Linked DNA regions of Danio rerio. The protein of the gene in region 1 interacts with the protein of each later gene in a biochemical or structural test. Links are inferred from orthologs where the notes say so. Each region holds a gene or a part of one and is shown in the gene's direction. Other genes may lie near its edges.

Region 1 (3,825 bases):
ATTAAGCTAGGATCATTCTGATTGGATTATTACTGATTACGGATGAGTGGCCAGCGGTGCACAATCATATCACGTGCTCCTCTCGAAATTAGTTTATGAAACTTCACTTGTATGTTTTTTATCTTCGTTTTGTCTTGAAAATAATAACCTAAAGACTCCTACTATAACTGTTTTTACTGTCTCCGCTTTCTGAATCTTTCATTTAGCTATACTTTTAATGAGATAATTACATTTTGATCTTTTTTTGTGTGTGTTTTCTTTAGTAAGCTAAAACATTTGTGTTAAACATCTAATTTCTGTATGTTTTTTTTAATTCAGTAAAAAAAAAAAAAAGTGCATTTCTAGTCTGTTCCTACAATTTGGTCAACTTTGTTACATTGGTTTTTAAAAAAAGTGTTCAACCATTAAAGCAGAGAACCTTTGTACACCTTTAAACATTGTAACCTTTGATTTTGCTCGCCATCCCATCTGAGAAGAAAGGGAAGATTTTGGGGAGAATTGGGGTTAATGGTTTTAATATACATTATCATTTCCAATTTAATGAAATATAAGTTTGGTTATTTTGGCCCTTCATAAGAAAAGATTTGGGCACCCCATGCTTTAAAATGCTTATTACTTAAAAATCATGTGATTTGCTTCAAGTGATGCCACTTGATCTGGGGGGAAGCTCTGGAAAGCATTGAGATGTATTCTACTCTCAATCACTTGTACAAAATATCTACACTGTAAAACCCAACAGTCAACTTTATCAAATGAAATGAGTGTAGTTAACTCAAAATTTACTGAAAGTTAATTCTTCTCATTTGAAAAGAGTTTTGAACTCAGTGTTGAAGGTGATAAGCTAATTAAATACCTCATTACTTTAACTTAATTAAAGTAAGTTCACAGTACTCATATAGATTAGTTTTTTTAACTCAAATGGTCTGTAGCAATCGGTTTCCTTAAATGATTTGAGTTGCCTTAACTTACCAGGTTTTACAGAACTCAGTTGGTTTGTCTTATCTTAATTTATTGGGTTTTACTGTGCTCAAATTTCTTTATTTACTCAAATGCACAGGTGTCAAACTCAGTTCCAAAAGGGCCGCATCTCTGCACAGTTTAGTTCCAACCCTAATTAAACACACCTTTTCAAACTATAATTGAGTCCTTCAGGCTTGTTTGAAACCTACAGGTAAGTGTGTTGGAGCAGGGTTGGAACTAAACCCCTGCTCAAATGGATTAAGTTCATAGTACTCTTTAAGATTAACTTTTGAACTTAAATGCATTGTTGCAGTCGGTTTTATCAAGTGGTTTGAGTTTCCTTAACTTTTCGGGTTTTACAGTGTTTTAATTAGGAAACATCAACATTAGATATATAGATTAATTATTTGTCAACTCTGTTACTATAATAGTTCAGTGAATTACTAACACATTTTCTTAAAAGCTATAGCAATATGATGAAAATACATACAATTCAGGTTTAGACATGTGGTTAGTCCTGTGGTATCTGGTTTGAGGTTAAAACAGAGGTTAAAATGTTGGAAAAAGTCAACTCTGTTTGAGATTTTAACGATTTAACAACACTTAGTAACATATTTAAATGTATTTTATCACATTTAAGCATTATCTGCATTAATAATGCATTCACTTTAGTATTAATGATACATTTTTGTTCTTTATGTCATTCTAATTTAAAGGAAAATGAATAAAAATCATACTGTATGTTGTCATGACTTATTGTTCATGTCATTTATTATAGTGCAGCATTGCTCATGTTTTGGCCAATTTTGCTTGCATTAAAGCTACTGACGTTCCTGAGGTTGTAGACCAGAACTTCAGCATCCAGCTGAGCGCCAGTATGGAGGATTTGAAAGAGGGAGATTCAGTCAACCTCACCTGTGAGACTCCTGCTGGAATGGCTTTCCACCAGCAGTGGCTGCATCCCCAAAAACAGGCAGGAATTTCATTTGATTTATTTCTCTCTCTTTGCTTTCTGTTTTGTGGTTATCTATTAGAAGAAAAACAGGCTTATCTAAAAGTCCAGGACTGAAGATGTATGGTGTGATGCAGAGGTGATATTTCCTCAGTCCATCTTTAACAGTAGGAAGGAAATGCAAAAATGTGAGGCTACAGAAGTGAAGCTAGAAACCTCAAAGGAAAAGAGTGACACTAATTTACCATGTGCTTTGACCTGTGACCTGCCCGTCCTGTGAGTGTTGAAGACAGATGTGCGTTTCTCACCTCTGTGCTCTTGTGAATCCACATGTGTGACGGTCAGGAACATACAAATAGTTGAATCAACATTTTTGAGGAAATTTGCTTCCTTAAATGAAATATTGCTGGTAGTAAGTTGTAGTTAAGGATAGTGTAATATGTTTTTTGTTTATTTTTTTGTGTGTGTTTGATTATTGTGAGTTTCGAATACAGAAATGTGATTATTAGTTGTTGATGCTGAATGTAGTTGAAATGAAAATGAAAAGAGGTTAGTTAGTCAGTAAGTCTGTCAGGTAGATAATTAGTTACAGAGTTAGTTGGTTTTATTTGACAATATCCTGTTGTTTATTGTAAGTTTTAATCAAACAATGTTAGCTTTATTTTATTTGTTGTTTGTGTGTACAGTGATGTTAGCTCCAAACCAAGAGATGTATGTTTAAGTTAATGGAACTCTTGAATGTGTATAAAAATATATATTTAATTTATATATATATATATATATATATATATATATATATATATATATATATATATATATATATATATATTTGGTGTTTGGTTAAAATTACTTAAAAAACAAGCAGATAGTTTTGAGGTTATAATATGTTAGTTAGTTTTGGATCTATTTGGTGGTGAGCATGAGTTCAAAACGTATAAGATGGTTTAGGGGTGTATTTTTGTATTTGATGAATAAAGAGAGTCTCTAATAAATGAATAATATATAGTTAGTTAGTTAGTTAGTTAGTTAGTTAGTTAGTTAGTTAGTTAGTTAGTTAGTTAGTTAGTTAGTTAGTTAGTTAGTTAGTTAGTTAGTTGTTTGTTGGTAGTTGTAAATTTCAGACAAGTTGTATTTTTGTATGATAAACATGAGAACCAAATTTAAAGATGTTAGTTAGTTAGTTAGTTAGTTAGTTAGTTAGTTAGTTAGTTAGTTAGTTAGTTAGTTAGTTAGTTAGTTAGTTAGTTAGTTAGTTAGTTGTTTGTTGGTAGTTGTAAATTTCAGACAAGTTGTATTTTTGTATGATAAACATGAGAACCAAATTTAAAGATGTTAGTTAGTTAGTTAGTTAGTTAGTTAGTTGGTTAGTTAGTTAGTTAGTTAGTTAGTTAGCTAGCTAGCTAGTTAGTTAGTTAGTTAGTTAGTTAGTTAGTTAGTTAGTTAGTTAGTTAGTTAGTTAGTTAGTTAGTTAGTTATTTATAGGTCCAGTTTAAAATGTTTTGTTGTTATTTGTTGGTAATTGAAAATTCCAGACAAGTTAGCTAGTTTTTTTTTTTTTTTTTTTTTTTTGTATTTGATGAATGTGAAAACCAAATGTAAAGATGTTAAATGGTTGGTTACTTAGCTTAAGTTCTAAACATTTTGTTGTTATTTGTTGGTAATTGTAACTTTTAATCAAGTTTGCTTGATGGCTTTTTTGCATTTGATGAATGGAAATACTATATTAAAACTTAGTTGGTTGGTTGGTCGGTCGGTCAGTCAGTCAGTTAGTTAGTTTGTTAGTTAGTTGGCTAGTTATTTAGTTGTCATTTTTGTGTGTATTTGATAATGAATGTGAGTTCTGAATTAAAAGATGTTGGTTTATTAGGTTAGTTTGTTCCACGCCTCTGTTGTTGTTTGTTTAAGTGAATTTG
Region 2 (4,620 bases), on another chromosome or scaffold:
CACACAGAAATGCCAACTGAGCTGAGGTTCGAACCAGCGACCCAGCGACGTTCTTGCTGTGAGGCAACAGCACTACCTACTGCGCCACTGCCTCGCCACAGGACATACAGAGAATAGAAATTGCGGTTAATGCAGACCCTAGGTGCCCAACATATAATGTTAATTTTCTCCAATTTTCCCCACAAGTCCAAAAACATGGTATAGGTGAATTGGGTAGGCTAAATTGTTTGTAGTATGTGTGTGAATGAGTGTGTATGGATGTTTCCCCGTAGTGGGTTGCAGCTGGAAGGGCATCTGCTGCATAATATGCTGGATAAGGTGGTGGTTCATTCCGCTGTGGCGACCCCTGATTAATGAAGGGACTAAGCCGAAAAGAAAATGAATGAATGAATGAATGAATGATTGTACAAAAATATTGTGTCAGGTTTATTTTGTTTAATGTCATAAACTCTCACTTATTATTTAACATTATTTAATAGGTTCGCTAAGTGTACTAGTTCATTTATAATGTAAATGTAATGTAATGTGTATTTATATAGCGCATTTATCATGTATGGCCATACATCCAAAGCGCTTCACAATCATGAGAGGGAGTCTCTCCACACCACCACCAGTGTGCAGCATCCACTTGGATGATGCGACAGCAGCCACAGGACAACGGCACCAGTGCGCTCACCACACACCAGCTATTGGTGGAGTGGAGAGACAGTGATAGAGCCAATTTGGTGGAAGGGGATGATTGGGAGGCCATGATCTTAAGGACCAGTTGAGGGACTTTGGCCAGGACACCGGGGTTACACCCCTACTCTTTCACGAGAAGTGCCATGGGATTTTTAATGACCACAGAGAATCCAAAAGACAGCACCCACTGACAGTGTAGTGTCCCCTTCACTTTTACTGGGGCATTAGGACTCACACAGACCACAGGTTGAGCGCCCCCTGCTGGCCTCACTAACACCACTTCCAACAGCAACCTAGTGTTCCCTAGTGGTCTCCCATCCAGGTACTGACCAGGCTCAGCCCTGTTTAGCTTCAGTGACTAACCGGTCTTGGGTTGCAGGGTGATATGGCTGTGGCATTTACACATAGTTATGTGTTACACTGATTAAGGGACCCTTTTCACAGATATTTTGATGTTATATTTCAGTAATTAGAATTTTTCATAAATTATTATCAGTTATTTATAAAACATTGAACATTTACATTTAAAAAGCTTTTATTTATATAAAATCAACTCATTTATGTTGATGCAGACTCAAAAATGTGACATTTATCTGAGCTCATCAAAACTACAAATATATATTAAAATAATAAAACTCAAATGTTTCTTAGAAGTGATTTCTGAATGCATTACATTTTATGTAGACCTACTTTTAAATAACTTAATCGATCGACAAACTGACGAAATGAGTCTCACGTCACTAATCCATATGCTCGCTCTCTTTCTCCCCCTCAGACACACACACACACACACAGAGAGAGAGAGAGAAACATATAAACTTGTGTGGCGGTGGAAATGTGAGAAATCTAGTCTTTGACTCAAAGCGACGGCAGCACCAGCAGCAGTTGTGAATGGTCCCCGCCTCTCCGGGGAGTTTCCTCCGCGGGGAACTTTTACTTTATGCGCAGCACCTGTTGTGTCGCCAGTCGGCCGTCTGCGCTCGCCAAACTCCTGGAGCCTCCTCAACACATTCATCTCCTTCACTAAGTTGGACGCTACAAGTGGCATTTACCCAGAGCCGGGCGCTATGTTTTGCGTAATGCGAGTGGACTATCTGAGTTCGCGAGAGAAACACTTTACAGACAGACAAATGTATGTTGCGCGTCTCAGATTTTAGTTTTCTCCAACTGTCCCTGTGTTTAGGCGAACAGGTGTGCGCTCACTAACAACTATTAATGCTTAACTTTGCGCAGACGCGTCTCGGAAAACTTTAGAAGTTTTCGCTGCAGAAACTCTGGCTGATCAGGATTATGTGGACTTTACTTTACGCGTGCCCCTTACAGATGTGTCCAAAGTTGGATACGCGTCTCACGAACAATATTTCTGCATGGTGATTGAAACAACGCATACTAAGTGCACCGACAGCCACCATTTATCCAAATGATTCCGTTGCTTCTGTTGATTGTTATATCGTCTCTTCATCAACATGAGTCGGTGGCGGAATCGAGTCACATCAGTAAGATTCACCACGCCAGCACGAAAGAACAGAACGGTAAGTTCAAAGAGTCATTTCTTCATCCGCGCAGAGACTTCTGCATGGTGCTGCTGCTTTAACTTTTGAATAGCCATAACAAACCCTTTTATACATATTCCTTTAAATGCATTATTGCTATTTATTTTATAGCACTGTATAATTAATTATAACCTATATAAATTTGACCAATATTTGACTCCCATTTAGACCAAGCACTATATTTGTACTCTTGAGTTTTGTGGGACTTCTGATGGCGCTGCATTGAGTTCATGTGCAATGAATGGCAATGGCAAGCCTTTTTTACATTTATTACTTATGAATTACTTTTTAAAATATTGACTGAAGATAATTGTAGCTATATAAACATGTTACTCATTTGTGTACTATTAAGTAGATACAAGTGTCTGTTATGCCGCACTACTAAAATTGAAATATCAACTTTTTTTTAATTGTCAGTACTAGTAAAACTGAGGCAAACTAGTAATAGTTGCTTAATAAACACAACTATTATAAACAGAAATTAACTATTGTAATAACCCTTTGACCCTCTACCAAACGGTTGGCCATGTTTTTACTGTTTTAAATAATGACTTTTAAGTAAGAATCAAACAAACATAATCCTGTTGCACTACTACTCTTGATTTTATTTTTTTAGTAAAAACGTGTTAAATGAGAATCTGGAATATTTTATGGCATATACTTCGAAAAATTAAGATGATTTGGTATTCAATAATGTTTTATTTTGATTATTTTTAAATTAGTCTTACACTTCATATTTTCAGTTTTTTATAGTATATGTATTAGTTTCAGTACATTTACTGTACCATAAACCAACATATCAACCATTTGGTAGAGGCTGATATTTTAGAAATTATGGGATGTGTTGGGAAAAAATGTGTGTTAACTTGCAACATTAGGACATCTAGAAATATATATATTTCTAGACACTTTTTTTCTAGACATTTTTGTTATAATTACCTTAATAATTGTTGCGGTGTTGTCTTATATCAATACTTAAATGTAACAAAGTACTTTAATCAGGACACTGTACTGTTACCAATAAAATATTATAAATAAAACTGCATTAAAAGCCCTTTTTGTATTACTGACTAGGCCTGCAAAATTATCTAAGATTAAAAAAAAAAAACTGTTGAATGTTATGTTTTAGTAATGATGAGCAGCGTTGATTAATTTATGTTAATACATAATTATATAAAACCTATTTTGATTTCCAGTTTTTAGAATTGAACAAAAACGTGTGTGATTGGTTATAAAGCTCATCAGTTGGGGGAAAGACTCCATAAAAAGTAATCTGATGCAATATGTGCAACTCTTTTAATATGAAATTAGCTGCATTTTTCATTAATTTTAAATATTTCAGTTCATTATTTATTTTTATTTTTTTTTTATTTAGACTATTAGTTCTTTATCTTGAATGTTTTGGGTTTTCATTTGTTTCCATTTTGCCAATAATCTTTTTCTAAATCTTTTTTAATGTAGTGTCCAAAAATATACTAGGACCTACTTTTGCAATAACACAAAAATATCGGTCACACTTTATTTTGATTGTCTGTTTGTTAAGTTTCATTTACATTGCAACTTATTCTCATTAGATTATAAGTAGACTGTTAGGTTGGGGTTATGGTTAGTGTTAGTTGACATGTACTTGCAAAGTTTCTTATAATCAGTTAAATGTCTGTTGAAGGAGCAGTATCAACAGATATTAAGCAGACAGTCTACTAATACTCAAATGGACCATCAAAATAAAGTGTTACCCAAATATATTATTAGCATAAGTAAAGTAACAAGTGTAGTAACAAAACTATGTAACAAAAACTAGGTATTAATTAGTGTAGGGCAATACATGTTAAAACAGCTTGCCATAAATGGTCACAATTTATGAGGTTCACACAGCATTATGCTTAGTAGGAAGTTGAAGTTACCTTTGGCTTTCATGTGCACGAAACGCACATCTGTATGTGTATTTAAGAGAAAAAATAAAGCTCCTGGTAACTGGGTCCCCTGAGAAGGGATTTCTCTCTGATCACAGAAAGACCCCATTCATGAAGTGTGGGGTGCCCTGGGGCCATGTAATTTGCTTTCCTCTAAATCCCACCAAAACTCACAGGTGAACTTAAAAAAAAAGGAGAATGATAAAAAATAAAGCAAAAGTTGTTTAAATTTAACGTCTATTTGCTCAGAAAGTATAATGTCAGTGTTGTAAAGCAGGCGTTGGTGGGGACAGGCAAACTGTCGCCCATTGCGCACCATTAACAAAATGTAAACTACTGCTTGTGTTGACTTAGGCGAGGGAGCGCCCCTCACTGTGTCAGGGGTGAAGCAGAGTGGAAACATCTTGCAATCAAACAGCTTCTCCGGGCCCACTATCAGAGCTTTCATTGTATTATCATTCTTTCTCTAAACT

What was found.
Region 2: the proteins of pdgfra (region 1) and pdgfc form a complex in vitro, tested with the Homo sapiens proteins (2 studies listed by BioGRID and IntAct, with this or other methods). The link is inferred for Danio rerio from reciprocal best matches to the Homo sapiens genes PDGFRA and PDGFC.

What each region holds. Positions count from the first base shown.
Region 1 is NC_133195.1:25,016,147-25,019,971, reverse strand, and holds part of pdgfra (platelet-derived growth factor receptor alpha precursor), read left to right. Parts: intron 1-1,781; coding exon 1,782-1,933; intron 1,934-3,825. UniProt on the Homo sapiens protein: Tyrosine-protein kinase that acts as a cell-surface receptor for PDGFA, PDGFB and PDGFC and plays an essential role in the regulation of embryonic development, cell proliferation, survival and chemotaxis.
Region 2 is NC_133189.1:40,274,876-40,279,495, reverse strand, and holds the start of pdgfc (platelet-derived growth factor C), read left to right. Parts: upstream 1-1,520; 5' UTR 1,521-2,101; coding exon 2,102-2,213; intron 2,214-4,620. UniProt on the Homo sapiens protein: Growth factor that plays an essential role in the regulation of embryonic development, cell proliferation, cell migration, survival and chemotaxis. Potent mitogen and chemoattractant for cells of mesenchymal origin.